Schizosaccharomyces pombe: one gene and its partners. The gene in region 1 interacts genetically with each later gene. Each region holds a gene or a part of one and is shown in the gene's direction. Other genes may lie near its edges. The genes, in order: chk1, crb2, rad3 and cdc17.

Region 1 (9,936 bases):
AGCATCATAGTCATCTTCCAAAAATATATGCTTCAAAAGGTTCATTGAAAAATCATTCTGAACCTTTATAAAAGTAAAGGTTCCAGATCTATGGCTAAATGACACAGGTTTCTAATGATTGTAATTTTTTGTGTTGGAGATAGGTTTTTGGTAAGTGTACGAAGACAAGTGTAAAATGCTTACAGCAAGCGATAGGGATATCTTAGAACCATTTTATACAAGTTGCATCAAATAAACTATTGTGTTTTATAATAAAGTCTTGAGTCACCGATAAATGTCAATATCACTGAATTTGATTAAGAGGATTTCGGGTGGAAAAGTGACAGAAATTTAAAGTTAGTAATTACTGTAACGGTGATTTTATGACGCCTTTTTTTTAAAAAAAAGAAAAAGGCATTAAGCTATTTAATGGGTGTGAGGTTCGAGTACTCGATGTAATATTATTATTTAAAGCATTCGTGAATTTTGGAATGCCTTTAGTTATGTACGAAATGATTAACAACGTAAGCATCTATTTTTTAAATAAAAAAAAAGTAAAACAGACAACGAAGCGAACGAAATGCGTAATAAAGTATTTTCGAAAACCTAAATACAAGACTTCTTGAGGCTTTTATTTAGTACGGGGATAAGAAATCGCTTTGAACATTAAACAGTGTATTTGAACGGCAGCCATTACGACATAGTAAGTCGTTCAAACATACAGTGTGCTGTAGAAAGCGTCGAAGTTCACTGTCTGGAGAATGTCCAGTAAGTTCTAAATCATTAGTTTTCATGTATCACTTCATGTCTTGAGATTAACTTACCCAGTAATAAGCAATTGATTTGTTCTGCCATATATTTATGAAAGTCGCTACTCATAAAAAACGATAATGGGCTTGAAAATGGGTCAAAATATGCAAGCAATCCCATGCTTAATTTAATCATCGCCTGCAAGTTGCTGCTCTTTGTATGCTCATAATCATTAGAAAGTTCTTGAGCATAATTCATTAAAGGTTGGAGTATACGTAAATCTTCTTCTTGAGAGATTTGCTTGGTGCCTTTACTTTTGGTAAGCCGCTGATCATGAGTCACTTTCACTAGTTGAAGGAAACGTAAAAATCTTAAAGACATAATAAGGTCAGGGCATTCCTGGATAGCAACTGGATATTGACAGTCGATTTTTGTCATAGCAAGGTCGAGCTGGCCATTAGCAAGCATAGAACTAATTTCTAATAAGTGTCAATGTCATATTGTTCAGTAAAAAGCGAAAATATACCTTTTCTAATACTTGCGTCAGAGACTTCGGTGTTCTCTGGGCAAAACTTCTTGGCGGTTTCAACAAATCCATTATTGAGCAGAAACGATGAAATCAGCTCGTTTAGAAATTCTTGACGCTGTTTTAACTCTTCCTGCTTTGGTGACTTAGTTGCCTGTTCAAATAATTTGTTTTTCTCCATTTGAATAGCATAATCAATGTCGTAAAGAAATGGGTTCTGTCCGAAATTAACCTCAACATGTTCACCATGACTTTTCAATCCGATAACAGGGTACAAAACGTCGCTGACTTTCTTAAATGCTACACCCAAATAGGCACCATTTTTGGTGTAGAAAATTGTCCTGTTGATAAAATTAACTCCACAGCCTATAATGTCACCAGTGGTAAATTCAGGTCCATAAGCTTCACCCGTTTTAGAGCAATTAAATTTCTCACCACTGTTTCCGTGGTATCCCCAGCTTTCTGCTGTACAACCTGGAAGCCTATTAGTTTGCATGCTCTTCCGACAAAATCCAACACCCATTTTTCCCTCTTTTCCTCGAGATAAAATTTGAATTTCATAATAGTAGATAGAAGTGTTTGATGGAATTGCATGATCAGCTTTTACAGACGCCGCATCATGTTCAGTGCCGGCTTCAGGACCTATTAAAGATTAGTTATAAACCATTATAATTAATACAACGAACCAAAGAAATAAACCCCCATGTTGTTATTCATCAATTCTAATGAATCTGACTTATCGTTGGGATTCCATGAAGATGGAATGGCTTTCGGCGTATTTGTTACATTGCCCTCCCTTGTCATGTCAAACTCTCGTAAATACTTCTCCCATTTCAGCCATCGTGGGTCACTTCTAAGCACATTTTCTCCGTAATTGGTTCCTTGTAAATACAAGGGGAGATTGTCGAAGTTAATCGGCTGTTTTTCAAGATTCTTTGGTGTACTAGTCATTCGCAGGTATGCTCTTGGTAGCATATAAACAGCCAGTTTTAGTAGCTTATTCAGCTATCAGTTTAAATGTTCAATTTTCTAATCAGTTTTTCTTTTGTAATTAAATACAAATCTTTTGTAATAATAATTGGTAAAACTCTTAAATTTTTAAATGACGTGTAAATTTCAGCAACTCTATAAAATGCTCTGAGACTGAAAAGATACTTCACTATACGGCTTCATAAGGATTAAAGGCTCAAAATTAGAAATACAAATATTAGGCTGTATATACAGTCCTATTACTAATCAGAAAAAAATTCAGGCACAACATAACATTGATACTTGTCTTGCGATAATACATAACACAATGACATTGAGAATCAATAATAATAAAATAGTATTATAATCTAACGGAAAGCTAAAAAAACGACTGCATTAACGGAATGCATTAAACAAGAATAGCTTTAATCGAGCATCATAATAACAACTTCAACTTCTGGAACTAAATAATGATAGACGGTCCTTAAAAAACCATTCGGTGGTTTTCAGGAGGTTGTGGCATTGCATGAAGGAATTGCTTAATCGATGAGATGAAATAATTTCAACTTCCATTATCAATGAAGAAAGTTTAACTAAAGACATTTTTTCAAGCATTGAATAGGAAAAGAAAATCCATATGACTAAACAGAAATGAAAATGAGTATGAAATAGACCGGCCTAACTAAATTTCATCGATTTCTTTATATCTCTGCATTAAAAGACGTTTGTACTCGATAGGGTCTTTACTCCACAATTCTGCAGCTCTAAGAATTGTTAATAATCAAAAAAGGTAAATGAGATATTTTCAACATACTGAGCATTCAAGGGAGAAGCATTGTTTGGCTCACCCAGCAGACTTTGTAGAGATAACAAAATTGTCTGTACGTTATAGACTGCTGACCATTTATCTTTTAAAATGTCTAAACATATGTTTCCACTCATATCGACATTGGGGTGCCACATTGGTGAAGTAAAAATGATAGTTGGAGGGGAATATGGGTAATTAGCTGGAAATGACATTGAAATTTTAAATTTCAATCCTTCATAGTACTATTTTCGTTACGTTAGTCGTATGAAAAAGAAGAAAGAAGAGTAGACAGTTATGAAAATGTAATGACAAAGATGTGTATTAATTTTCCATTAAAGTGCAGCTACAAGTAAGCACACCAAGCATTATTCATATACTTTAAATATTAAGCTTTCAAAATAAAAGTCATACCGTATCGCTTGGGCCGGTAATTGTGCCAGCCCAATGTAGCAGGTTAGAATCAGAATCTGGAAACGCACTAATTCCAGGAGTATTGGACATCTAGTCATAAAACCCTAGTTAATAACAAAGTAAAAAAGCTTATTACAAACCATTAAACTCATTAATTCGCTTCTCAATCTACAAATGCATTAGAGACTTTTTTCCTAAAAACTGTTTATTTTTTACCGTTTTGTAACGCTATGACCGTCAACAGCCATGCCAGCAGAAGAAGAGTTTTTAGAATTAGTATGAGGGTTCTGGTTTTGCATATCAGAATCCATTCCTCAAGTTGTTACTGTAGTTTCTCAATGAGTACGTGGTGGTAGGAGAGTAAGTTATAAACACAACACAACATGTGCTAATGTACACAAGTAAACGAAAACCGGATATCAAATTATAGTCCAATTTTATATCATTATATAGATTTAAAACTCATTTAAAAATTACCTTAATTTAATCTTTTCCAGTCTTTGATGATGTTAAGACTGTAAATAATACACATGCCAAAATTTGCAACATATGCTTGTGTTATATTATAATCTTCTTTCCCTTTACACCAAAGAATGGCTCAAAAATTAGATAACTTTCCTTACCATATTGGTAGAGAAATAGGTACTGGGGCTTTTGCTTCGTATGAATTTTGATTTGAAAAATACTATATACTAACTTAAGCAAGCGTCCGTTTATGTTACGATGATAATGCTAAAATATATGCTGTCAAATTTGTCAATAAAAAACATGCTACTAGTTGTATGAATGCAGGGGTATGGGCTAGAAGGATGGCTAGTGAAATACAACTTCACAAACTATGCAATGGACATAAAAATATCATTCATTTTTATAATACAGCAGAAAATCCCCAATGGAGATGGGTAGTACTTGAATTTGCTCAAGGTGGTGACTTATTTGACAAAATAGGTGGGTGCATGAACCTTTCGTTTTTACTAACGGACTTACAATTTAGAGCCTGATGTAGGTATTGATGAGGACGTCGCTCAGTTTTATTTTGCTCAACTTATGGAAGGTATTTCCTTCATGCACTCTAAAGGTGTCGCGCATCGAGACTTGAAACCTGAGAACATCCTTTTAGATTACAATGGTAACTTAAAGATTTCAGACTTCGGCTTTGCATCTTTATTTTCCTATAAAGGTAAAAGTAGGCTTTTGAATAGTCCAGTGGGTAGTCCACCATACGCTGCTCCAGAAATTACACAGCAGTATGATGGTTCAAAAGTTGATGTCTGGTCCTGCGGTATAATTCTTTTTGCTTTGTTATTAGGCAACACACCTTGGGATGAAGCAATTAGCAACACTGGTGACTACTTGCTTTATAAAAAACAATGTGAACGCCCGTCTTACCACCCATGGAACTTGTTGTCTCCAGGAGCCTATTGTAAGTCCTGACTGAAATTCCTTTAAACTAATGATCAGCGATTATCACCGGAATGCTTCGAAGTGATCCATTTAAGCGCTACTCTGTCAAACATGTTGTACAGCACCCATGGCTTACCTCAAGTACACCATTTCGAACTAAAAATGGGAATTGTGCCGATCCTGTAGCATTGGCATCAAGGCTCATGTTGAAACTTCGTATTGATTTAGATAAACCACGTCTTGCCTCATCTAGAGCATCTCAAAAGTAAGATCTTGCACAGTTGTTTCATATTTCTAACTCTTTCAATTAGCGATAGCGGTTTTTCAATGACACAGCCAGCTTTTAAAAAAAATGACCAAAAGGAGTTGGATCGTGTAGAAGTTTATGGCGCCTTATCCCAGCCAGTACAACTTAATAAAAATATTGACGTTACTGAAATCCTTGAAAAAGACCCCTCATTGAGTCAGTTTTGTGAGAATGAAGGTTTTATTAAAAGATTGGTATTATTTATTTAAACCTAAATTTTTTCTAACTATATGAAAAAGGCCAAAAAGGCTAAGAATTTCTACGAAATTTGTCCTCCTGAAAGACTCACTAGGTTTTATTCTAGGGCGTCGAGAGAAACCATTATAGATCATCTTTATGACAGTCTACGACTACTTGCAATCTCAGTGACTATGAAATATGTTCGAAATCAGACCATCCTTTATGTTAATTTACATGATAAACGGAAATGTCTCTTGCAAGGTGTTATTGAACTAACTAATTTAGGCCATAACTTAGAGCTTATAAACTTTATAAAGCGTAATGGGGATCCTCTTGAATGGAGAAAATTTTTTAAAGTATGTCTTTATCATAGGGATTTCATATACTAATCCATGTGAAAGAACGTTGTCAGTTCAATAGGGAAGCCGATTGTTCTTACAGATGTTTCACAAAATTAATTGCACATCTTTTGAAAGGTCGTGCCAGTTCGTTTGTAAAAGAAACCTGTTGTTTGACTTCGTTGTGAATTTATTTTCAATTTTGTGGTAGTACAAATGATATCCTAGGGAATAGGATTATTAACGCTTTGTCAAGCAAATATCAATGGTTGCGAATGCTGAAGATATATTATTAGCATAAGGATAGTTCTTCCGACTGGCCATGCCGTTTAATACATCATTGTACCCAATATTCTTTTCTCACAATTCTTTCTTCTTTTTCTCTTTTTTAGTGAGATATCTGACGGCTCATTTGATTTTAAAAGGGATAACTCTTCTGAAATAACTCTTTCAAACGATTCTAAAAGGTCTTCATTTTCTTGGTCGGAGTATAAAAACTCATCTTCTTTACAAAATAGTAAAAGGTTCTTTTTTGTGAATTCTTGTCTCTCTTTGGCTTCCAGGTAAGCATGCAAAGGAAAATGTGACATCGATGAACCAGTACTTATCAATGTAGTTATCCATAAAATATCGTCTGGAGTCTCTGCAGACATTAACATGTCTTCTCTTGTAGCCTCATCTACTTTTAAAAACTTCTTTCCGTGAAGTACTTCGGGAAGCTCTAAGAAACAGTTAAAGCCCTCACACACGATATGTAGCCAGCGATGATTTTCAGTAACAACGTATATATCCGAAGATTCAATTAAATGCATCCGGATGTCTCCTATTCTCTTTTCGGCTGCTACTTTGTGAACAGGTGTTAGTTCTCCTAAACTCACCTTTTCATTCACTAGTCGTTCTAATGCTTTCCATAGATATGTTTGGTGAGCAGGAGGATAAAGATCATATAGCATTAGCTGATGAGTTAATACCTTGATGTCCATTATCCCTTTAGACAACTTTAAGTGAAGCCTTTTAATACAGCTGTTCTTGTTTACAAGTGATAGCATATTTTCAAGGCAGCTATTAGTTATTTGAGGTTTCACTAATGTTTTTGATGTTCCATTTTTAGTATCGAAGACATTCATCAAGTTTTTATCTTCGTGCTCAAAGATGGTAATAGTTACTGTAGGTGGAAAAAAGGCTTTACTCTTGAATTGAACATCTTCGATACATATATCTAGGTTATCACAAAAGAAGTTTACCCAAGGAATTTCAGTAGAGCACATGTCTGATACTTGGGCAAATTTGCAAAAGCTTGGGGTAATAACCTTTTGGTCACTGAAAAGAAACTTTGTGCATTGCTGTGACAAGTCGAGGACCCTTTCATTATCTTTTTTTTCTTTTATTGTAGCCTGTTCGTTTCTAGAGCTTTTGGATTCGAGTACACTTTCATATTTCAATTCAGAATCATATATTGGCGATACTTCACTGGAAGCGATGAGGTCGGAATATATAATCTGTGTTTCTTCTAGGTCGGGAAATTCGGTAAAATCTTTTACTCCTTCTATTATGGCTTGTTCATTTTCAAAGCACTTAGATTCGAGTATATTTTCAATTGCTAATTCAGAATCATATATCGGCGATATTTCACTTAAAGTCGTGGATTCGGGATATAAAATCTGTGAAGATAGTGATAAGTCAGAAAGCTCAGAGCTCTGTTTTATATCTTTTAATTCAGCATTTTCTGAGTGGTTCGGTTTGTGGGTACCTTTAGGTGCTGATTTGGAATTATTAATTGGCGCCAATTTGCTCAAGGTTGTAAATCTACAGCTTAGAAGCTGTGGATACCGAGGCTTAAATATATCTTTATCTCCCGTATTGCTTTCTTTCAATAGTGCCCTCTTCGGTTGAGTTAAATGCGAAAATGCCTTTGTTGCTTTTATTGCGGATGTAACCTGACTAATGGAAGAATTTTCGTTAAATTTTTCAGGTTTTGTTTGGTATTTACGAGCTGCCAAATGTAATTTGATGTTACTATTCGTTGAAGATGATATTGATTCCTTTTTATTGTATGCAGCATTCCAGTATTGGGATAAACTTTTAAACGGCGAGCTATTAATAGTTGAAAGTTTCGTCTGGAGTTCTGATTCCATAAAAGAGGTGCCGCCCAATTGCAGTATACAAGCTATGAATGTTATTGGCTTGCTTACGCCGAGCTTGTCGAAAAGGTTATTAGCCTTTGAAGGATTTTGGTTTGAAGACTTATTTTCCTGTTGACTTAAGAAGCCTTCTTCATTTTTTTTTTTTAAAGTATAATTGTTCTCTATTGATTTTGGCTCAACTTGGGGTTCTAATGGCATTTCTGCCATGCTTTCATCGTTATCAGAACCCATACAGCAGAGAGGAGCGCAAATTTTTAGGATCTTTGATTTAAAACTTGTCCAAGAGCTACCAGAGCAGTGAGTATCACATCGGTTACTTTTTCCCTTTTCCTGTATTTTATCAGGACGAAAGGCACCTGATATTTTAATCTCTGGATAAGCAATTTTACTGTTCATTACGAAGTTACTTGGCTCTTTTGAGGCTTGAGTGATTGCCAGTTGGATAACTCAGTAATTAGAGATCGTGTTCAATCTCTTGAAGTGTATACAAAGGTTGGGTAAAACATGTTCAACCTTGGGTTATTTATATTAAAAAACAATTCATTTCGTTTATATTAACACATTGTTTTATCATAACTAATAATTTATGAAATCCCTCACAATAAACAAACATCGAATGATAATTTGATGCTCACCTAACATTTGCTTAAAAAAGTGTTAAGTAAACATTTAATATTACTAAAAGATGATCATTTAAAAATAAAAGCTTTCGCTAACCATTTGCATCCTGGATAAATAGCTCAAATAACAAAGGATTTAGATTAACTGAATAGTAATAATATCCTTAGCTAAGCCTTTGAACTAAGCCTAAATAAACAACACCAATTACTCACTATTTACAATGGATGTTTGACTTGTAACCAATAAGGAGGCAAGATTTACTAAAGACAACCAAGTATAATGTTGTAAACAAAAATAATAAACAAATCAACATTGCTGCAATTATACATTCGAAAAGAATCATTTAACGCAATTCTGAGTTAAAGGAAAATAATGTGTAAATAAACAAACGAAAAAGAGTGGAATACTAGCAACTGTAAATAAACAGAAGTTATTTTTTAGTGATCGAATTATATTGTATTTATGTTGTCAAAAGTTATTGATTCATGAATACCCCCGAAAATATCTTTCTGAAGTAAAAATTTCAGAAAATAGAAAGTGTTTTATTTTCGTTCGTATGTTAGTACGAATATCAAATTTCCAGTTTCATATTGCGTGACCAACACATTATTTATTAAAAATTTTGGACAAGCCAGAACTCGAATCTGGGACCTCTTCCATGCTAAGGAAGCGTGATAACCATCTACACCACATGCCCATGGTTGATTTTTACTCTATGTTAGTCGATTATTACTTCCTTTACTATTTGCTATTATTCTTTTCCAACGCACTTTGATACTACCCACGCTTATCATAGTATACAAATATAACATACATACAAATACAACATACATACATATATGTATATATATATATATTTACTACCACTGCAAATAATTGTTACGCCTTTACTACTGTTGAGTTTTCCTCCGTTTTTTTATTTGTTTTTTCTATTGTTTTAAATTAATTATTAACTATCTTTCTTTTTAGTCCAAATACTCAAAAATACTTCAAACTAGCTTCATTAGTAACATTAACTAACTAAATTTTTTATTCAGTTTTTGTTTGTATATTTTTCAGCACTTAATATTTCTTAAGATAATTATTTTTACAGTTTCCCTCTTCTTTTTTTTTTTTATTTAAATCCGATGCGAAAATAATTAATTACAAACAACAGATAATTAGTAATTACACTTTTGAAAAAAATGAGAACTACAATGGAACAAGTAAATAAAAAAAAAAATTTAATCCAACCAAAATTGCTGATCTCATTTTATTTAAAAAAGTAAAAATGATTTCATTCCAAAAGAATCGTTAATTAATAAAGCAGATATAATTTCTTTTTTAAAAGTAAAAAAATTAAAAACTAAAAAACGATTGATCGTGCCAAGACTCGAACTTGGGACCGTCTGCGAACTGTAAATGTTAAGCAGAAATTATAACCATCTAAACCACACGACCAGATGTTAGCCTAACTCTTATTATATCTGGTATAAGCGTAGTTTAATAACTGGCTAATT
Region 2 (7,537 bases), on another chromosome or scaffold:
AATGCGTTAAGTGAAGCAGGCATTTATGTGATCTTGGATTTGAACACCTATAGGCATTCAATATCTCGTGCTCATCCTGCTCTATCTTACAACAAAGTTTATCTGCAACATTTATTTGCTACTATAGACGCATTCAAAGGATACGATAATGTACTAGGATTCTTCTCCGGCAACGAAGTAGTAAATGACGAAGACACTACCGCTATTACATGGGTTAAAGCGGTTACTAGAGATGTGAAGGCATACATTAAGAAACATAGTGATCGGCATATTCCAGTTGGTTATTCTGCTGCCGATGTAGCAGAAAACCGTTTACAGCTAGCTCATTATTTTAATTGTGGAGATGAGAGCGAACGAGCAGATTTTTATGCTTTCAATATGTATGAATGGTGTGGATACTCAAGTATGACTGTTTCAGGTTATTATGATCGCATCAAGGAATTTAGTAACTATTCAATTCCGCTATTCTTGTCAGAATTTGGTTGCAATACTGTTGAAATAAACGACGATACGACTCCTAACCGACCTTTTACGGAGATTGAAGCAATATATTCACACGATATGACCCCAGTTTTCTCTGGTGGTCTGGTCTACGAATATTCAGCCGAACCTAATCATTATGGATTAGTCGTTATTGACAAAGATGACGAGCGTAGAGTGTCGAGAAATTTTATAACGTTGATGAAGCAATATGCCAAAACTCCAAATCCAAAAGGGGATGGTGGTTATAAAAAGGCCGGATCGCCAAGTAAATGCCCTGCTAATTCTACTCAATTTAACGCATGGGAAAAATTACCTGAAATGCCGGAAGGTGCAAAAATTTACATGGAAAAAGGTGCTGGCGAACCTTTGGGAATTGAAGGTCCAACGAATATGTGGTCTCCTTTTCACGATGGTGACGATGATGAATCTACCTCTCGACGTCCCAAGCCAAAAAACAAACCATCTAATGTTACTAGTACAACTAGTTATACATCTGGCATGACTAGCTCCTCTGAAAGCGGTTCATCGAAAATTGGCGTTGCTTTTTGCCAAGCACTTTTTATTACTGTCCTTATCGCTACCCTCAGCTTCTAAAAAAAGAATTGTTGAAATTTAGAGCTTAGCTGAATGACTTGTTTCAGTAATTCAATTGAACTCTTCTAAAGCCGATTTGTTACAAGACAATGCTAACATTTCCAGTTACAATTTAGTATAATTAAATGAAATCATATTGTTTATCATTTACGGACGTTGAAAGGATTGCTAATGTAGTATTTGTCTGTTCAAGTAATTTTTGGTATTCCTAAAGAACCAACTTCATTATGATTCAGGGCTTAAAGGGTTATAGGAATTAACATATTTTTCCTTTAAATATCGTATTGACTAAGAATTCACCTAATATAAATAGCGAATTCAACGCTCAATTGCAATCGTAGGATCTGAAATATAACTACTTAATTGACAGCCAAAGATAATTCAGAATCTAAATATGCTGTATTTACGCTTTCTCACAAACGTAGTAAGGTATCATTTACATAACATTATTAAATATTTGATTATTTTATTTTATAAGTTATATTTATTTTTCCTCGAAGCTATCATACTACCCAAATTAAGCTATGTTTGTTTCAAGGATAGGATTTTTGCAGTGTAATCAAACGTTATTGTTAAACAACGCAACGAACTACAACGAAAGCTAGAGCTTCGTGGTTTCGACACAGTACATACAACCTGTCTTTTGCATTTCGCAGTTTAAGCAGTTTGCGATTGGGATAATGTCGTTGATAACTTTCAAAGCAGGAAAGCTTCGCAGAGTTCCAGGAACAAAGCTTTTACGTGCTGACCCAGAAAAAGGGTATGCTCGCATATTATGTATGATAGCTAACAAATCACAGTTATATAGTCATGAATCGGGACGCCTATGGATTAATTCATTTTCAATGGGCAAAAAGGAATGATCTTGAAAATCCCGAGGATGTAAGTATCACTTTCAATACCACCTGTAACACATTAAAAGTTCTAGTCGATACTAACCAAGTTTAGGATATAATTGTATTTTCTTCTGAGTGTACATTTGAAAAAGTTACGGAATGTACCACTGGGAGAGCTTACATGCTCAAATATCCTTCTAGCGCTCATAGCCTATTTTACTGGATGCAAGAAGCCTCAGACGATAACGATACTTCTTACGCTGAAAGAATTAACAGCTACATTAAGGATCAAGATTTATTAGATCCGGCCCGCTCTGATGTTGCAACGGTTTCTGATATGATGGAAGTGGATACTGTTGAGCAATCGGAACCTATTGCTCAACCAACTGAATCTTCAAAAGAGAGCTCCGAGATTGGAGCCCCGAACAGCGATGAAATTAATTCATCGGAAGCTGTGAGGAATCTATTGGCTACAATTTCTGCTCAGGCTGGATTTGGAGGTAGTACAGTCGATCTTTGCGAAATCCTCAAACCTTCGAATTTAACCGATCTTTTATGCCAAGAAGGTGTTATTGATCGACTCATGCCTTACATGCCTCCTGATACCCCAAATAATTTGGAGGGGGTTTTGGCTATTGTTAGTAGTCCTCAATATGCTCAAGCTTTGAGAAGCTTTTCTCAAGCTTTAAATTCTCCTGGTGGTGTAAACATTATTTCAGCACTTGGTCTCTCACTCGACGAATCTGCCAATCCTAATGAGGGAGGTGCTCTGCAATTTCTTAAAGCAATTGCTCGCTTCGTGAGCAGGAATAATGGTTCTGAGTAATGTCTTCGATTAAGTAATTCGTCGTATATCAAAAATTTCTATTTAAAATATTATCCGTTGAATCGTTTCTTTATAATTCACTGACGATTCGTATTAAAAGTTTTTAAATTGAGCATTACTGGCGTTCTTTTTTTTTTTTTTAAATAAATATGGAGGAATTAAAATGCTTTCATGGTAGGATTTGTCCTCTTACCAAAATGAGTAAGAGTAAGTTGGAGTACACAATACAATGTTGCTCGCTCAAAATGCTCTTTACAGAATGTTTATTGGTACAGTTTCATTTTTTCTCATATATGAAATATTTGTTTTAGGAAATAGGCAATCTTTATTTTTCTTGCATACAATGCTTATCTTTCCTAAACACTTAAGATTTATAAATGCAATGTATGTTCATGAATATGAACTGCGAGCGCCAAGGATGAATTACATTAGGACGACTAAAAATGAGAAGTTGCACTCCCGAAGTATCTCTACTTCATACTTCATTATTATTTATGCTTTATATTGATTATTGTTGTTTTACAAAATATGTTTTATTTCCAAAACAGTTGGTAAAATGTAGGATATGTAATGTCAAATACATAATACCAACATCTATTCTTAATAAGTTAGAAAGTTGAACAGTATTGAAATGATTTACTAAAGCTAGAAAGTAGCCAACTGTAAATGGTTAAAGTATTGACGTGTAGTCACATTCAATTTTTGCGCAATATCATTGAATTTCAAATCTAACGATTTTACTTTTGTAAACAGCCAAAAAAGTGGTCATAAAACGGTCAGGGAGGGACTCGAACCCTCGACCTCACGATTAACAGTCGTGCGCAATAACCAACTACGCTACCCGACCTCGGTGTCATCCGTTACATTTAGTAATATATATTGTTAAAAAAATAAAGCGTAGTAAATGTAATTGCTTTTTTGAGCTATGGCTTGTTACATTCTTTCTCTTGAGCAAATTTAGACTTGCTCATTACAATCATAATCGCTTTATAACGTCTATCTGCTTGTCTTCATTTGCATGAAAAAAAATCATATAAACAATGTATGCGGATAGTCAACTCAAACAAAATAGTAGTAATTAAATAGCAATAATAAAGAAGGAGCCTACAGCACCCCGGATTCCCATGTTGTCTCCAACCATAGTACTAACGAGGCCCTCAGACGCTTAACTGCAGTGATCGGACGGGAACTGGTGTTTTCGCCTAGGTATGGCCGTAGACAGCTGTTAAGTTTTAATAAAGTATATAAACGATAGTTATCACTCATTAGGAATTCGAATGTATGTTGGCTCCACTACGAATAAGATATGAATGTTAGCAATATAACCTGAAACTATATTTGACATTCTTTTTTTAGAAATATCATTAAACAAGCAAAATCTATTTTCTATGATTGTTTCAAAAAGTCAAGATGAAAAGTTCAAAACTCAAATTTAAAATTACTTCTTCAACATTACTGATTCTAACAACATAAATCTCCTATCGAACGTATTAATAAAAGTGGAAACATGCTGTAGTTTGTACATCAGGTCAAACAATTATTAATAAAATTAGAAAATAAGTTTTTCTACCTTGAGCCCTTCATTTCCATATTAATATATATATATATATGATTAGCCAAATAGCTGGTGTTGTAACTAAACGTTCTTAACTGCTTTCATATAAAGTAACGGTGCAACGTGTTACTTATGCAGAGCTTACAACAGATAAATCGAAATTTGGGTTAAGCCCTGGTTAAATTTGTAGTTCTGACAATTGTGAGGTATTTTAGATGTTTTCAATATTTTGTTTGAAAGTTTAACAATATTATGGAGGTGAATGATACCTCTTTGCATAAAGGATTTGGCCTTGACATAAATTCTCAACGTGTATTTGGAGCACAAGCAGCAATTTCTCGTAACAATTATTCAAAAGTGAATGCTTCAATTAATCCTTCCCCTCCTAGGAGTAATGATAATTCTAATAAGGAGTTTAGTTATTCTAAGGATGTGAATAACAATGGTGCTGTTGAGGAGCTAAGTCTTACGCAGTTGTTTGAAGTACCTAGTCAAGCTGCTTTTGCAAAACAGAGTTCCCAGGACATTTCGGATGATGAACTTATTCAACATGATTCTCGTAAGGTGATATCGTCGCCTTATTCACCCAAGCAGACACATACAGTGTTAAAACGCTTATACGATCGTCAATCAGTTATATCGGACCATGAAAAGCTGTTGACTCCTCAGAATGTATCTAATTCTTCCCAAATTCTTTCCCCATTTACTTCTCTATTACCATCAACTCTTTCAACTTTAAAAGATACACCTTTGTCAGTTTCTCAAAATGAGAAAAACTTAGAAACCGTTGGAGAAGTCCTTGTACCTGAAACCGTAGCTCAACATAGGACAAAGTTTTACGATTACACTTTGGATGAGATGGAAAATGAGACAGAAAGCGGTCAAGTAGAGACTACACCTACTCGACTGGCGACTTCTCTAGGGTCTCCCGTTCTTTATGGTCGAGTAGAGTCCACTCCTCCTGCTTTTTTACCAGAGACATCCGAAAAACAATATAAACGAAAATTTAGCTTTACTGAGCCCTCGTCTGAAAAAGTTGATAATACGGAAACCAAGTTTTCAAAAAAAACTAAAAACATTAATGATGAAAACTTTCCTAATCCATTTAATGTGATTTCTTCATATGAAACAAGTGCTTCACCGTCGACTGTAATAGATCAGTCTAGTCAAGTGAGCTCAATTTTTGTAAACAAACGGCTGAGAAAATCGGTTAATAATCAAGCTATCTCAAGGTCTGACAGCCTAAGCCTGGATACTCCTAAAATTGATAGTTTATTCACTAGGGCTTCTATTAAGCCATTAAAACCTTCCCAATCACCGAATTCAAGAAGGTCTTTTAAAAACCGTGTACTCGCTTTTTTTAAAGGATATCCCTCTTTTTACTACCCAGCAACTCTTGTCGCACCCGTACATTCAGCCGTAACAAGTTCCATCATGTATAAGGTTCAATTTGATGATGCAACTATGAGCACGGTTAATTCAAATCAAATTAAGAGATTTTTTTTGAAAAAAGGAGACGTTGTACAATCCACAAGATTAGGAAAAATCAAGCATACTGTTGTGAAAACATTTCGATCTACTAATGAGCAATTATCCCTTATAGCAGTGGACGCTCTAAACAACGACATGGTTATTTTGGCACACGGAGAAATTGAGGTTACGGTTCCCATTTCTACTATTTATGTTGCTCCTGTGAACATTCGGCGGTTTCAAGGAAGAGACCTCAGTTTTTCTACTTTAAAAGATATGAAGTTTGAGGAAACATCATTTCTTCCTTCACATGATTCTCAGAGAAACCGCTCTTCTTTGAAAGAAAGGGATTCTTCCTTTGTCAAGAAGAACTTGGATTCAGAAAGTAATCAGCTCATCTTTGACGATTGCGTGTTTGCATTCAGCGGTCCCGTGCATGAGGATGCCTATGACCGAAGTGCATTGGAAACTGTAGTTCAGGATCATGGAGGATTAGTTCTTGATACAGGCTTACGCCCTTTGTTTAATGACCCGTTTAAAAGCAAACAAAAAAAGTTACGCCATTTGAAACCTCAAAAGCGAAGTAAATCGTGGAATCAAGCTTTCGTTGTATCTGACACATTTTCTAGAAAGGTTAAATATTTAGAAGCTCTAGCTTTTAATATCCCGTGTGTCCATCCTCAATTTATTAAACAGTGCTTAAAAATGAACAGAGTTGTTGATTTTTCTCCTTATTTATTGGCATCTGGCTATTCACACCGTCTAGATTGTACACTTTCCCAACGGATAGAACCTTTTGATACCACTGATTCTTTATATGACAGACTTTTGGCAAGGAAGGGTCCTTTATTTGGAAAAAAGATTTTATTTATTATACCTGAAGCAAAATCTTGGCAGAAAAAGATTGAAAATACAGAGCAGGGTCAAAAAGCTTTGGCTCATGTCTATCACGCGTTGGCATTGGGTGCTGACGTTGAAATTAGACCAAATGTTGCACATTTGGAGTGTGATTTGATACTTACGATGGATGGAAACATTGTAGATGAAACTAATTGTCCGGTCGTTGATCCTGAATGGATAGTCGAATGTCTTATTAGTCAGTCTGATATTTCTACTTAGTTTTGGTTTTTTGATATAGTTATTTTTACTAACTCCCCCTGAGTTTCACTCTCATTAATTTAGCTTTTTATTAATTTTAGATATTTGTTGTTTATTAATTTATTTGCAATACTGACGAAAAGTGTCAATTTCAATATTAAACAAAAACTTTCTCTAAAAATCTACATGAGAGGATTGATTGGGATTATTAAAAATTTTCAACGAACTTAAAGTCCTTTATTTTTTCACTTTTTTTCGTGGCTGTAGAATATTGGCTTGCGTAGCAGGTTTCGAATGGTTGTGATTTTTACGATCATCACGTTTTGCCAACCCACATATATCTAGCTTGTAGCGCTTATAATGAAAATCCTTTAAATTTTGTACAGCGGAAAGTGTGTTACTAAGAAACTTTTCTGTTGACGACTGTGCATCAGATAAAGAGCCAAATGGATGCTTCAATAAAGTATCGTAAGTGACTCTGTATAATTTAGCTGGAATCATTACACCAGAATCACCAAAATTATCTTTAGCAATAAATTCTCTTGTTTGATAGAACTGTAGCTGTAATGTGAAAAAGCCAACTAGTTTACCTGAGGAGCACTCTTGTCTATAAGTCAGCGTATCCCAAAACTCTTCAACGGACATGTCACTTTTCTCATCTTGAAGCTCGCATAA
Region 3 (7,562 bases), on another chromosome or scaffold:
TTTATTGAAAAAGGAAGGAAAAATCAAGTCAAGTCTGTGAAAATTAAGGGAATGACTATTATAAAAGCCCCAGATGCCTTAAAGAACGCCAATTTACATAATGAAGTTATTGTGATGCAGACAACTGATAAGCCCATCGTCTTAAAAGCGAAAAGCAAGAAAATTCACAATATCTGGGTTCAAGCTATCAAACAAATAAATCATAAGGCTATCTTTGATACTAAGCCCGGCATTTAAGCATGTTTCAGTCATTGCTTATAAGTTTTAAAGTAAACTGTTTCAATATTCCCTAACAACTTTTAAAGTTATACCAATTGTTTTTATTAAGCGGCATCAAATAGAAAGATATTAAACCACTGTAAACAACTAAGAATCAAATGTCTTAATCAGTTTTGTAAATGAGGTTTATACGATCAAGCTTTATTGCAATTCGACATGCACTAATGAGGATGATATACTTTCCTATTTTGTCGAAAAAATTGCTCTTTCTATACAATTCATTTTTAATCAATCAATTTATCATACGAGACATTTAAATAGCAAACAAAAGACGACTAACGTTTAAAGGTAACATCGATAATGTTAGTTTTATCAAAACAAATTATCCCGTATAAGCAAAAGAAGATTCAGACTTAACCTTGACGGAGTTTTATGTGCAAAGAATTAAACATTGCTATTACTGGTAAACATAACAAATCTGGGCGACTTTCAATTACTGAATGAATAATAAGCAACCTGTTAAATGATTTTAGTGCCCAGATGCACTTTCCGTGTATTACCCCAAGAACTTTTAGCGAAAGTTAAAAAGAGCACAATATATCTGGCTAGTTATTTTACTGCATCGTTACATCATGTTAAAACTATTAGAGCTTACCATACAAAAACTGAAAACGTCACATAATTAACTCGGTACTACTAATTAGGTAAACCGTGCTTTTGCTCATTCCCTGTGGTGTGTCTCTTCGATTCAATTTTGTAGATTGTTTTCATTTTCCTTATTCCTTTCTTTTTTTAAGAGGGGTTTGACAGATACACAGCATTTCCAATTCTAAAAATTACTCATTTTAACAATTGCCATTGCTTTTATTCAAAGGATCAGCTAATTAAGTTCCTTTTTCAATAAGGGAGAAGGATATATTGGATTCTTGATTCCCAACGGTTAAAGAAATCATCGTCAGCATTTTTATTTTGTAAGAAATGACTGTTTTTGTTGTTTTTGGAGGGCATGGAAAGGTGGCCTTGCTTTTTACTAAAATTGCTACAGAAGCTGGCCATATAGTTTACAATGTTGTACGTGATTATGTTCAGAATGAAGACATTGAAAAAGTGCATGGCAGAACTTCTGTCTGTTCACTTGAGAAGGCGACGCCTAATGATATTGCTCAGTTTTTAGCTGAAATACACCCTGATGTTGTTATATTTGCAGCCGGTGCAGGAGGTAAAGGCGGCCCTGAACGAACAAGAGCCGTCGATTATGAAGGTGCTATAAAAGTTTATGATGCTATGAGGATAGCTGGTATTCGACGCTTAATTATGATATCTGCGATAGATAATCGTGATATGAGCCAACCTCCTCCTCCTTACTATACGGCTGCTGATATAGAGCTAAGTGAGAAAATACATCAGTCAATTGGAACTTATTACCATTACAAGTACCTAGCGGATCAGGAATTAGTGCGACGCTCTAGTGATATTGATTGGACGATTTTACGTCCTTCTGGTATGACAGACGAGAAGGGTTCTGGAAAAGTTGCATTGGGTAAGATATCCATAAATTGTATGATGTCTCGTGAAAACGTCGCGCGTACTGTACTACTGTTCGCTCTTGATAATCAGTCCATCCATTTGGTGGTTGACATGACGGATGGAAATGTGCCAATATATAAAGCCATTGCTGGATTCGTCGTAAAAGGAGAATCATCCTATACTTATTCAGTATAATGTAATGACATTTTCGGATCCTTCGCGTATTATTGTAGTCCACGCATCTTTTACTCCTTTCTTAAAATCTTCTGAAAAAAGAACGAAAATTTTTCAATGACCTATGAAGCGTACGCAAATTAATAAATATTTAAGTGAGGGATACTTTAGTTATACCCTTTATAGTTGAAATAAATGGAAGATCATATCAGGTAGTGTAAACATTGTGTTATCGTTTATTAACTTTGGCATAAGCAGCTTAGTTATAACATACGGCTAGTAAATCTAATTTCTGACCTAGAGATTACTACACTCTTTGAAAACAAAATATATTAGTTTAAAATGTTAAAAGTAAATGCATTTTATTGAAGTTAACCAAAACGTGAACAAGCAACTTTAAATAAAATAATAGCCGTACATCAAGCACAAACAATTCGAACTGGTGCTAACATCTAATAAAGAAAATACAGAAATATTAAGCATAATCTAGTTCAATTGTCATTTGTTGCCTCATTATGGAATTCCAAACTCGCCGAATTTATACAATGGCGTTCGTCAGTAGGATTAGAATAACCTTCTCCTTTAAAAATATGGCCTAAATGACCACCACAGTTGGCACAAACTGCTTCTACACGATGCATTCCATAAGAGTTGTCTTCAATGCGTTTCACCTTTCCAGGTAAATTATCGAAAAACGCAGGCCATCCACAATGGCTTTCAAACTTTGTGCTAGCTTTATAAAGAAGCTCTTTACATGCAGCGCAAACAAAAACGCCCTGTTTAGGGAACTGATGAGTGAATCGTCCTGCACCTGGGTGCTCAGTACCCTTTTGTCTCATAATTCGATACTTCTCAGGACCTAGCTCCTTTTTCCATTCATCTTCGCTTTTTTCCAATGGAAATCCCATCTTTGTATTATTTTTGACGTTTTGGACAGGGTAGGAGACGTTATATGCACGTTTCAAAAGATTCGTAAACTTCGTATTTCCACAGATTGAAAAGTGTGTAGTAATCACTTTTTTCATGAAAACACAAGACGATATGTACCACAACTGGCACTACAAAAATTTTCAAGTAAGTAAACGACTTTTTGACCACTATTTATGTGAATAGGTAGGTACCAAGTAAAAACTGCTTAGTAAGTATAAAACACAGAAGAATCCGCGATCTAGTGAACCAATGCCCTGCGTATGACGCTCCACTGACGCTATAGTCAATGAGAACTAGGATGTGCGATTATAACTTATCTTTTCAATATTTTCTTATTATTTATTTAAGAAATAATTGAATTAAAACTCATTTCTTCTTTTATTAGCCGTAAAATAGCTTATTTTCTCTCCTACTACCTTTCAACAATAACTTTTTTTTTTGTTTATTGACCATTATAATCACATCAAAAGTCAAAAAATTCAATCATTATCAGAAACATCCAGCCTAATATTACTTAAAAGTTAGTTTCCTCTGAAAATTCAGTATCACAAAAGCTCGTTAATTAGCATCGCTCGATACTTAGTGCACCATGCATCTTCCTTTACCTCGTGAGTGGAAATCGATTTGATAATCGATTGCCACTTTTCGCATAATTCTATTGAGATATTTTATTACTTACAATCGTCTTTTATAAATGCTCAAGACTTTGAACGCGCGTGTTGCGTTTTAAAAAGGCCTTTTTTTGAATTGAATCAATGGTTTGATATAGTATGAGCCAACACGCAAAAAGGAAAGCTGGGTCACTCGATCTTTCACCCAGAGGCTTAGATGACAGACAGGCTTTCGGACAGCTTTTGAAAGAAGTATTAGCATTAGACAAAGAACATGAGTTAGGTAGAAGTAATTCTTTACCATCTATGACCTCCGAGCTTGTTGAAGTTTTAATTGAAGTTGGTCTTCTAGCTTTTAAACATGATGATTCAAAATCTGAATTTATCTCTCCTAAGATGCTAAAAGAAGCCCATCTCTCTCTACAAGCGTTAATGCTAATCTTAAAAAGGTCTCCGACAGTTTTGCGGGAGATTAAATCATCTGTTACTCTTTTGGATTGGATTTTACCCAGGACTATATCATTGTTTGCTGATATTCGTTTTATTAAGTTATTTGACTCATTAAAAGAGTTTCATAAGCTAATTTATCAGCTAATCAGTGAAAAGTCATTCCTATGGGACTTATATGCTTCGTTTATGCGTTATTGGAAATATTATATTACAAACGTTTCTTCTATAGTTCTCCAAATCACTAATGCTACATTCCCTTACAAGATGCCCTCACCCAATTCTCAACCATTGCAGAGTATCACCCCAAATTATCCAACCCATCGAGAGGACAAATTTGATTTACTTATCATTAATATAGAGGAGGCTTGTACATTTTTCTTTGAAAGTGCCCATTTTTTTGCACAATGCTCATATTTAAAGAAATCCAATTTTCCTAGTCCACCTCTCTTTACAGCGTGGACTTGGATCAAGCCATGTTTTTTTAATTTTGTTATTTTATTAAAACGAATCAGCATCGGAGACTCACAGCTCTTTCTACATTTGCATTCACGTATAGTCCAAACTTTATGCTGTTTTTCCTTGAATTTTATATATCATGGCCTTCCCATTTGTGAAAAATCTAAACATATTTTAATGTCCTCCATCAACTTAACATTGGGATCATTGAAGAAAACTTATACAGTTGCTAATACTGCTATATCTCTTTTTTTTCTCTCTTTATTTGTTTTACCCAAAACTGTAGCTGGTCTATTCTATCCTTTTGGGGTTTCCTTACTTTCTGACTTCAAGGTATTAGAGCAACTTGAACCAGATTCTGATCTCAAAAAGGCAATAATATTATTTAAGTGCAGATACCAAAGTTCAGAAATAGATCAAACAACTCTCCGTGCTTTTGGCGAAATTTGTACTGGTAAACTTGAAAACACGTTGTTTTCTAACTCTGAATTAAACCTTTTTCTTTTACATTATCTTTCCTTGGACAATGACTTGTCAAATATTCTTAAAGTGGATTTCCAGAATGGTCATAACATATGTACATTTGCAAAATGGTGTATAAACAACAACTTAGATGAACCGTCTAATTTAAAGCACTTTCGTGAAATGTTAGATTATTATAGCTCTCATAATGTTACAATAAGTGAGGACGACCTGAAGAACTTCTCTTTAGTTTTGTGTACTCATGTTGCAAAGGTGAATGAGAAAACAAATAGTATTTTCCGCACATATGAAGTACATGGTTGTGAAGTTTGTAACTCATTTTGTTTACTATTTGATGAGCGGTCGCTCTTTAAAATTCCTTATCACGAATTGTTTTGTGCATTGCTAAAAAATCCCGACATAATTTCCTCTTCTGTTAAACAATCATTGTTGCTTGATGGCTTTTTTCGGTGGAGCCAGCATTGCTCAAACTTTAATAAAGAATCAATGTTAAGTTTAAGAGAATTTATTATGAAAGCATTAGCCAGTACTTCAAGATGTTTACGTGTTGTTGCTGCAAAAGTTTTGCCCATTTTCATTAAGGGACCTAATAATCTTGATATAGTTGAATTTCACAAGGAAAGTAAAGCCTTGATTTTTAATACGTTGAAAATATTGGCGGTGGAAAATACAGCTATTTTAGAAACGGTCATTCTTTCCTGGATCTCCTTATCTAGAGTGGTAGAAGAAGAAGAATTACATTTTGTACTATTGGAAGTTATATCTTCTGTGATAAACAGCGGAATATTTTATCAAGGCATTGGTCTCAGCGCTCTGCAACAAATTGCCTCGACGCGTCATATATCCGTTTGGCAATTACTTTCTCCATATTGGCCAACAGTGTCCGTTGCGATTGTCCAAGGTATGGGTAAAAAACCGAACATAGCCAGTTTATTTGCTCAGCTTATGAATATTTCCGAGGGCGATTTTCTTATTCGAACACAGGCGTACACTTTACCATTCCTTGTACTTACTAAAAACAAAGCGTTAATAGTACGTATAGCTGAACTTTCACAAAGTGATGTTGCTACTTTGTGCCTTACCAATATGCATAAAATCCTTGCTTCGCTACTTACTACGGATCATCCTAATTTGGAAGAGAGTGTGATGCTTCTTCTTTCACTGGCCACTTCTGATTTTGAAAAAGTTGATTTAACGTCTTTGTTACGCTCTGATCCTATTTCTATTACTGTGGAGTTGTTACAGCTTTATCAGAATGATGTTCCTCATGAAAAAATTGAAAATGCTTTAAGAAAGGTAGCAATGATTGTCTCTCAAGTGGTTAATGACGAAGACTTGAGCAATAAGGAATTACTTTATGATTTTTTTAATAATCACATTTTGGGTATCTTAGCAGAATTTTCTAATATCCTTAACGACCTGAAAGGAAAGACTTCAATTAATGAAAAGATTAAGACAATTGTCGGCATTGAAAAAATGTTATCTTTATGTGGAGGTGCAGTCAAACTTGGATTACCACAGATACTTTCTAATTTACAAAGTGCTTTTCAAAATGAGCACTTAAGGTTTTATGCAATCAAAGCTTGGTTCAGTTTGATATTAGCAACCAAGGAGCCCGAGTATAGTTCAATTGCTGGTTTAAGTCTTGTAATTTTACCTCCTTTATTCCCTTATTTAGAACCACAAGAAGCAGAGCTAGTAATTCAAATATTTGATTTTATTTCTTCTGACACACACAAGTGCCTACAAGGATTAAAGTGGGCTATCCCCACCAGTCTGGATTCAGCGTGCTTTAGCCTTAAGGCTAAAGAAATATTCTGTTCGCTTCAAAATGAAGATTTTTACTCTGAGCTTCAAAGTATAATTAAGTGTTTAACTAACGAAAATGAGCCAGTTTGTTATTTAGGTTTACAAAAATTAGAACTTTTTTTTCAAGCCAAGGTGGACGAGTTACATGACACACTAAATTTGGACATATCCAACGAAGTTCTGGACCAATTACTAAGATGCCTTTTAGATTGTTGTGTAAAATATGCTTCAACAAATATGCAAATATCATATCTTGCTGCAAAAAATCTTGGTGAATTGGGTGCGATAGATCCCAGCCGCGCCAAGGCTCAACATATTATTAAAGAAACAGTTGTTCTTGATAACTTTGAAAACGGAGAAGAAAGTTTGAAGTTTATTCTAGATTTTATGCAATCGCAGTTAATTCCAGCTTTCCTTGTTACTACTGATACTAAAGCACAAGGTTTTCTTGCCTATGCTCTGCAAGAGTTTCTAAAGCTTGGTGGATTCAAGTCCGCAGTGATTAATAAAAAAAAGGGACTAACTGTGGTAACAGAACATTGGATGTCTTTGCCTGATTTATCCAAACGTGTGCTTATACCATTTTTAACTTCCAAGTATCATTTAACACCAATCCCCAAAATTGACATTCGGTACCCTATTTATAAAGAAAATGTTACTATTCATACTTGGATGCAGTTGTTTTCTCTTAAATTGATGGAGTACGCCCATTCGCAAAACGCTGAAAAAATATTTGGTATTTGTTCGAAAGTAGTGAAAGACCAAGAGGTTAACATTCCCTGTTTTCTTCTTCCCTTTCTTGTTTTAAATGTTATTTTAACCGAGTCAGAACTGGAAGTTAATAAAGTCATTGAAGAATTCCAGCTTGTTATTAATCAACCGGGACCTGATGGATTAAATTCC
Region 4 (7,847 bases), on another chromosome or scaffold:
GAAGCGGGATTTGCATCAAACTGTTTTAATAGTTGAGGAGATGTCTTAGCAATGTATTTGCGAACGCGCTTTTGAATCTTAGCAAGGATGGCATCATGGCCGATAGAATTAAAACCGTAACGATTGATTACAGACAAATCAGGCTTAAGGCGGAAATAGCGTGGTTTAGGATTACCAGGTTGAGGTTTAGGTGTGACCGAGCCAATTTCAAGATAGGAAAACCCGAAGTTCAACAAACCTGAGATAGCATCGGCTTGTTTATCGAAACCAGCAGCTAGACCAATGGGATTGCAAAATTTCTTACCCCAAACTTCAACGGCAAGAGATGGATCATCAGCTACACGATCCTTCGGTGTTATACCCCAAGAGGCAGCGAGAATGGCGACACGATGAGAAAACTCAGGAGTGGTGAAAGCATGAAAGAGAGGCATTTCAATGCGGCCATGGATAAAACTACGAACATCGGACATGTCGTAAATGGCAACGCCGGCAGTAAAACTACCAATAACACTCAAAAGCTTCCAATGACGGAGAAAGAAATTGCCATTTGAAGAGCCAGAGCTGGTAGATTGAAAACGTACAGAGGAGCGCTTTAAACCCTGAGCGACACCGCGAAACAAAGATCGTTGATACATTTTAGTATTTTTAATAGAATTCGGCTTAAATAAAAAATTTTCAAAACGAAATTGAAAAAAATATGAATGATAAAATAATAAAATGAAGTTTTATAATAGTTTATGCTTAATATATTTAAACACCAGTTTTTTTCCAAACACAACAAACCCAAGAAAAAATAAACAGAACCAAAAAATAAAAATATGGATTTAAGGATCAGAACAGAATCGTCAATCCGTTTCTTTATCCACCTAGAGACAAGAAGTGTTAATTTATATAAAATGGAGAACTTGGTTCTAATAAGATTTCAACGAAAACAAAGATTTCAGAACCGAAAAAATTTCTCCAAGTGCTAGCAGAGGTATATTCTCTGAGAAAGAACAAAAATCAAAAATTGAATGTTTATATTGAATGTTACCTGTAACAGGTAACATGTTTTTTTAGTAATGCCGGGCTGTCGAAATTTGACTATGAGTTTTGTAAATAAAGCGATGGTTATAAACAATTTTATGATAGTTTTTGCTTTCGAATTAACATTTCATAAAAAATTTGAAAAAGAAAAATTTTAAAAATTTAAGGACAAAATCCACTTGAAAAACAAGTGCGAACAGCTTTTTGCAAAAAAACTACAAACCACTACACATTAGCGAATAAGCCTATTAGGAATTTATTTTAATTTTTGTTGATTTAAATTTCTTTTTTTTTTAAATGGTTAGAATCTAGTTGATAAACTTCTAGCAATGTATTTCCAAATTGTTTCTATTACGTTCGTTGATACAGGCAATTGTTCATTTCTGGTATGACTAAAGCATTTCTATACAATTCAACTTCTCATTTTTTCTAGCTGTATTTATGATGTACAGAGCGTTGGGAGAGAGTTGATTAAGTCAATAGTATTTATGAATGAGACAAGGAACACTCATACTATATCAATGATAAATAGCTTTTATATTATCCTGTTATAATCATAAAAATTAATTTCATCTATATAGACTTAGAAAAAAATGGTTTCGTTTTCACTGTCCTTAAACTACAAATATCGTACACGTGTTACTTGTTCTTCAGGTGTACCCTCACTATTGTCAAATCTTATGAAATTCTTTACTCGTTGACTTGATTGTTATGCGAACAGTATTTTCGCAAATTCCTCGTTTTAAACAAGTCAATCAGTACATACGGATGTCGACAAGGCAGTCAGACATTAGGTTTGTTAGATAGAAGACAGACGTTGACTAACCCATATAGCAACTTCTTCATTTCTTCTGCTTCGCACAAAAGCGAGCACGTGGAGGTTTCTCAATCGTCTTCTGATTCCAAAAATGTTGATGGGAGAAGCACAAGCGAAAAGAGAAAGGTCGAATCAGTGAAATTAGTCGACGAGTCGAAACACAACAACCACGACGACACTGGAACTCAAAATGTTGAGCGTGAAAATAATATTGTGTCTGAGGCAAAAAAGCAAAAGACTTTAGGTTCATCCTCCTCTTCTTCAGATGCCGTATCTAGTAACAACGATTCTGGGGCATCTACTCCAATACCTTTGCCAATCAAAGAACCACCGTTAGAGTCCAATGCTCGCAATGATAAGTTAAAAGGTCATGCAACATTTGCTGAAATGGTAAAAGCATTCACAAAAATAGAGAATACTAGCAAACGGTTGGAAATCATTGATATAATGGGGACTTACTTTTTTGGAATTCTTCGCGACCATCCCAGCGATTTACTGGCCTGTGTGTATTTAAGTATCAATAAGGTATGAACGTTTGGTTTTAAAGGATTTCTCCTTCTCAGTACTAACGTCTTTTTTTACATTAGTTGGGCCCAGATTACTCGGGACTAGAGCTAGGAATTGGCGAAAGCATTATAATGAAGGCTATTGGAGAGTCTACAGGGCAAACGCTTCAACAGATTAAACTATCGTTTCACAAAGTTGGTGATCTTGGTCTTGTAGCTCAAACATCCCGTCAAAATCAACCCACTATGTTTAAACCTGCAGCGCTGACAATTCCATTTTTATTTGACTCATTAAAAAAAATTGCTCAAATGAGCGGAAACCAATCCCAAAATAGAAAAATTGGAGTGATCAAGCGGCTATTGAGTTCCTGTGAAGGTGCAGAACCTAAATATTTGATTCGAGCTTTGGAAGGCAAGCTACGCCTCCAACTTGCCGAAAAAACCATTTTAGTAGCATTAGCAAATGCCACCGCTCAATATCATGCTGATAAGAATGGAGAAAAACTTTCGCAACAAGACAGGATTGAAGGAGAGCAGATTCTTCGAGATGTTTACTGTCAACTGCCTTCATACGACCTTATCGTTCCTCACTTGATTGAGCATGGACTTGGTACTTTGCGTGAAACTTGTAAATTAACACCTGGAATCCCAACAAAACCCATGCTGGCTAAGCCGACGAAACAAATTTCAGAAGTTTTGAATACGTTTGATCAAGCCGCATTTACATGTGAATACAAATACGATGGCGAGCGCGCCCAAGTTCATTTTACCGAAGATGGGAAGTTTTATGTATTTTCTAGGAATTCTGAAAACATGTCTGTTCGCTATCCGGACATCTCTGTTTCTGTATCGAAGTGGAAAAAACCAGATGCTCGTTCTTTTATTCTCGATTGCGAAGCTGTCGGTTGGGACCGTGATGAAAACAAAATTTTACCTTTTCAAAAACTTGCAACAAGAAAGAGGAAAGATGTGAAAATTGGGGACATTAAGGTCCGAGCATGCCTTTTCGCTTTTGACATTTTATACCTAAATGGGCAACCTCTTTTGGAAACCCCACTCAACGAGCGTCGAAAACTACTTTACTCAATGTTTCAACCAAGTACTGGAGACTTTACTTTTGCTAAACATAGCGATCAAAAGTCTATTGAATCCATTGAAGAATTCCTTGAAGAATCTGTCAAAGATTCTTGTGAGGGTTTAATGGTCAAAATGCTTGAAGGCCCGGATTCTCATTATGAACCGTCAAAACGTTCCAGGCATTGGCTAAAAGTTAAAAAAGACTATCTTTCTGGTGTTGGAGATTCTCTGGATTTGATTGTAATTGGCGCATACTACGGAAAGGGTAAACGTACTTCTGTTTATGGTGCCTTTCTTTTGGGCTGCTACGATCCAGATACCGAAACAGTTCAATCGATTTGCAAACTCGGGACTGGTTTTTCAGAGGAGCATTTAGAAACTTTTTACAATCAACTTAAAGACATTGTTATATCTAAAAAGAAAGATTTTTATGCTCATAGCGATGTACCTGCGCATCAGCCTGACGTCTGGTTTGAGCCTAAGTACTTGTGGGAAGTCTTAGCTGCCGATTTATCTTTGTCTCCGGTTTACAAAGCTGCAATTGGATATGTTCAAGAGGACAAAGGAATCAGTTTACGTTTTCCAAGATTCATTCGTATTCGGGAAGACAAGAGCTGGGAGGATGCTACAACAAGTGAACAGGTTTCAGAATTCTATCGTTCGCAGGTGGCTTACAGTCAAAAGGAAAAAGAAGGGTCCCCAGCTGCCGAAGATTATTAAGTTTGTAGCTGAGAGTTACTGCTGAGAGCTACTGTCATAATAAAGGGTAATGTTCGGCTAAAATTTGCCCAAAGAGGCTAATATGAATTATGTTAAAGAGACAGACAAATTGAGTTTATGCTCTAGCTGATGGCTATTTCTCTAGCTTACTACTATTTATTTTTTTCTAATTGTAATCCCCTGTGGCTAAAAAAAAATTAATAATAAACAACATTGAATTTCCAAATTATAACATTAGATTGAAAATTTGAATCTTATTTATCCCTTTTTATTATCCTTTTTATATGATTTTATACATTGTATTACCATTTTACGTTCGTACCAAGCCTTACTCTATTTTGCCGTCATATTCCTCCTTACAGTGGATTACGAATGCTTGGTGTTCATTACCGTCCATATACATTTTATGTCACTGTAGCAAACACCAAGAAGAAATTACAATATTGGCTTTAAAGCCATTAATTGCTATGAATAATTCAGAAGAATGGCCATTGAAACATGTGCAACCGCCCAAATTGTCATTTCGTCATTTGCTATCGAGATCTGTGACAGATGCTCCTTCATTGCGGGTACGTTGGTTCTATGCGGTAGATAGACCGCTTAGGAAATCAAGAACGGGACCGACGGAAATTAAAAAAGCAAAAAATTTTTTACCTTTTTCAGCTGAAGACTCGGAGCACATCGAAAAAAGTTATTTAAAGGCTGTAGAAAATGACGGTCAATCTGAACCGGTCAATGTGAATGAGGATTATTTGTATTCGGTGAACGTTGTTTCAAGAGAACTCTCACCAATATACTGGGATGGTCCCGTTTACCGGATACTCAGGGGAACGTGGTTTTTTAGTCGTGGGGATAAACTGTACCCTTGTGAGGAAAATCTAGCGACACAAGTGGAAGAAGGTTATTTAAACAGTTGTCCCTATCGAGAATTTTCGAATGAAAAAGACTCTGCTGCTGCACAATCAAAAACATGGGCCCTCCTTGGAAGGTATACAGGTGGATTCGTACAATACACTGGCAGCAGGAATGCCCGACTGGTGTATGATGACTTTTATCGTAACGTTTCTGTGAAAATTATGAATCGGTTTTCTCCTGCTAGCTTTCACAGAAGTGATAAATTGGTGCGAGGCTATGAACTGGATATGTTGGAGTCGAATTCGAAGCCGAGTACACCTGTCCCTACTGAGGAATTGACTTCTACCACTCTTTTAAACGATTCTTCAGATCCAAGTGACAACTTTACACCTAGTAATACCGAAAGTACGATAGACCTTCCATCCGCGACTGATGCCTCTCATTTAATGTCAAGACCCGACCGGGAAGTTAATCATCTAATATTGTGCTGTCATGGCATCGGTCAAAAAATGGGTGAACGTGTGGAAACTGTCAGTTTTGTAAAGGATATTAGTAACTTTCGTAAAACTTTAAAAAAAACCTTTAATTCTTCTCCAGACCTGCAAGCTGTGTATCCCAAACTGAAGGGAGGTGGAAACGGTGTTCAATGTCTGCCTCTGTTATGGCGTCAAGACATAAGATTTGGCATGGCAAGGGACCTTGATTCGTCTTTTGCGGACGATGATGACGATGATGATGAATCATTGAACATGTCTAGAGATCTTGCATTAGACGATTTGGAAGACGATTCCATTCCAACTTTGGATAATATAAATATCCCTACGGTTACTGGATTGCGAAACATTATTTCGGATGTTTTGCTAGACGTCCTCTTGTATTGTCAGCCAAATTATCGAGATAAAATTTTGGCAGCAGTGGTGAAGCGACTGAATCGTCTGTACAATCTGTACAAAAAAAATGTCCCCTCATTTAATGGCCATGTTTCACTTCTTGGACATTCCTTGGGGGCTCTAATTTTATTTGATATTATACGTTACCAAGGAAATATCAAATACTCAAAACTGCAACTTGACTTTCCTGTTGCAAACTTTTTCGCCTTAGGTAGCCCATTGGGATTATTTCAAATGCTGAATGGTAAAAAAATTGCAGGTCCTATTCCTAAAACGAATTTGACTCGCAGTCTAAGTTATTCTGAGCAAAGTTTCGATTCGGGTGTCTCGATCCTTAGCTGTCAAAACTTCTATAATATATTTCATCCCACTGACCCCATCAGTTATCGTGTAGAGCCATTGGTGGTTAAGCAAATGGCCCGCTTAAAACCTCAGAAAATTTCTCACTTTCGCCCTCATCAAGACCTTTCAAGTTCTGGTGTAGGGCATAAAATTGCCGGTGGTGCTCTGAATGTTCTTTCTGGCCTTCGATCTGGTATTGCTAATACCCTAATCTTAAAATCATTGAGTTATGCTTCTGTGTTTAACGAGGCCACCGCTGATTCTCACGATGAATCACAGGGAGCTGAAAACATTCGGGATTGGCATATTGATGAGCGAATGTATCGATTGAACAAAACGGGACGTATAGACTTCATGCTACAAGAAGGTGCACTAGATACTTCTTATAGCTATGTCTCAGCAATGAATGCTCACTCTGAATATTGGAAAAATGTTGATCTTGCTCATTTTATTCTAACCCAATTACTTTAATACTTTTTCGAATTAATGCAATGGTAAACATTCTTTCCTTCCTTTTCTTATCTAAATTTTATTTTAATGTTTTACCTTTTATGTACGACTAATTCAAATGAGTTTAATAGATGAACTTTCCAAACAAATTTTACCTATTGATTTAAGAGAGAAGGCTATTAAAAGCGCCCATGACTTTGTAGATAGATTGATTGCTTGTATAAAATTTGACACAGTAATCCTCCTAATTTTTATGCGAAAACAATAAATCTTTTATAGCTTTGGCATCTGCTTGCAGGTACAAAAGTTGGGGTAAAAAAGAACATTCCAATATCATTTTGATAGTAGTTGCTTTAGTTTCATAGCAAAATTTTCCAAGAACAGGACATCAATTTCACCTTCTCATCCTCTAGCATTAAAATGTAAAAAAAAAAGGTAGCGATAGAAAAAAAACACTAAATAGCAAATTAAGCTTTTTTCTACTACCAAGGACTCTTAAAAAGTCCAGTTTCTATATACGTTGACCATCTCGTATTTCTGTTAGAGACAACTTAAACAAACGCAACGCCATTCAGTCGTTGGAAGAAGTACTATTCGTTCTTACAACGATAACGACATGCTGTCGAATTTGCTGCTTTTTTCGGACCCTTGTTGAGTTTCTTTGTTCCCCACCTTTTGAACATATATATAGACCCCTCGATGGCTTAGTTGATTTACTGAACCTCAACTCCGAAAAGCGTATAAAGTCGGGCAAATCTCAATTTCTTCATTTTTAATACTTTAAGAAGTCATAAAACGTGTTAAATTAGTTGATACACTGTTTTATTTGATTGAAATTTGAGATTAAGTTGGTTATTGTGGCTTGTCCTTACAAACTGTATGCTGATTTAGTTTGGAGCTCTTGTTTGGTTACCAAGTGCTTTATTAGCACGGTCGTTTAATTTTGTAAAAGTTTTAAATTTTAGAATAATAGTTCTTTAACTATTGCATTTCGTATCTGGCTCAAATGGATTTCAACAATATTCCCCTTGCGACCATTAAGTCCAGCGATGATAAGGGTAAAGACTTTATCGTGGAAATGACCACTCGTCCTTCTGAAACCAAGAAGAAGGTTCCTTTTTCTGAGGACATGCGTGAAATCCCTTCTTTACCGAACGAGGAAGA

What was found.
Region 2: of chk1 (region 1) and crb2, a mutation in one rescues a mutant of the other (synthetic rescue), as found in Schizosaccharomyces pombe (4 studies listed by BioGRID, with this or other methods).
Region 3: of chk1 (region 1) and rad3, a mutation in one rescues a mutant of the other (synthetic rescue), as found in Schizosaccharomyces pombe (3 studies listed by BioGRID, with this or other methods).
Region 4: mutations in chk1 (region 1) and cdc17 are lethal when combined (synthetic lethality), as found in Schizosaccharomyces pombe (6 studies listed by BioGRID, with this or other methods).

Annotation. Positions count from the first base shown.
Region 1 is NC_003421.2:1,055,984-1,065,919, forward strand, and holds chk1 (protein kinase Chk1), read left to right. Parts: upstream 1-3,812; 5' UTR 3,813-4,036; coding exon 4,037-4,104; intron 4,105-4,149; coding exon 4,150-4,391; exon of another isoform or gene 4,392-4,437; coding exon 4,438-4,866; exon of another isoform or gene 4,867-4,904; coding exon 4,905-5,112; exon of another isoform or gene 5,113-5,158; coding exon 5,159-5,348; intron 5,349-5,393; coding exon 5,394-5,690; exon of another isoform or gene 5,691-5,735; coding exon 5,736-5,792; 3' UTR 5,793-6,001; coding exon of another isoform or gene 6,002-8,212; 3' UTR 8,213-8,460; downstream 8,461-9,936. Other genes in the region: GTPase-activating protein Gyp2, read right to left, coding at 1-45; gid1 (putative Ran GTPase binding protein), read right to left, coding at 615-754, 804-1,208, 1,256-1,897, 1,942-2,206; ubiquitin-conjugating enzyme E2-C Ubc11, read right to left, coding at 2,907-2,988, 3,039-3,274, 3,444-3,533, 3,584-3,611, 3,660-3,754; protein Meu27, read right to left, coding at 6,002-8,212.
Region 2 is NC_003423.3:4,206,541-4,214,077, forward strand, and holds crb2 (DNA repair protein), read left to right. Parts: upstream 1-4,426; 5' UTR 4,427-4,546; coding exon 4,547-6,883; 3' UTR 6,884-7,037; downstream 7,038-7,537. Other genes in the region: 1,3-beta-glucanosyltransferase Gas4, read left to right, coding at 1-1,077; proteasome regulatory subunit rpn1301, read left to right, coding at 1,758-1,837, 1,878-1,959, 2,026-2,739; histone lysine acetyltransferase Rtt109, read right to left, coding at 7,100-7,537. UniProt on the Schizosaccharomyces pombe protein: Essential for cell cycle arrest at the G1 and G2 stages following DNA damage by X-, and UV-irradiation, or inactivation of DNA ligase. Plays a role in the response to DNA damage.
Region 3 is NC_003423.3:900,745-908,306, forward strand, and holds the start of rad3 (ATR checkpoint kinase Rad3), read left to right. Parts: upstream 1-3,439; 5' UTR 3,440-3,620; coding exon 3,621-7,562. Other genes in the region: dynein-anchoring factor Num1, read left to right, coding at 1-237; SPOM_SPBC216.03 (uncharacterized protein), read left to right, coding at 1,198-1,941; peptide-methionine (R)-S-oxide reductase Mxr2, read right to left, coding at 2,412-2,828. UniProt on the Schizosaccharomyces pombe protein: Serine/threonine kinase which activates checkpoint signaling upon genotoxic stresses. Involved in G2 arrest following DNA damage where it phosphorylates chk1.
Region 4 is NC_003424.3:1,386,207-1,394,053, forward strand, and holds cdc17 (ATP-dependent DNA replication ligase Cdc17), read left to right. Parts: upstream 1-1,678; 5' UTR 1,679-1,737; coding exon 1,738-1,820; exon of another isoform or gene 1,821-1,860; coding exon 1,861-2,368; exon of another isoform or gene 2,369-2,430; coding exon 2,431-4,146; 3' UTR 4,147-4,411; downstream 4,412-7,847. Other genes in the region: mitochondrial dihydroorotate dehydrogenase Ura3, read right to left, coding at 1-635; SPOM_SPAC20G8.02 (DDHD family phospholipase), read left to right, coding at 4,431-6,704; itr2 (plasma membrane myo-inositol transmembrane transporter), read left to right, coding at 7,690-7,847. UniProt on the Schizosaccharomyces pombe protein: DNA ligase that seals nicks in double-stranded DNA during DNA replication, DNA recombination and DNA repair.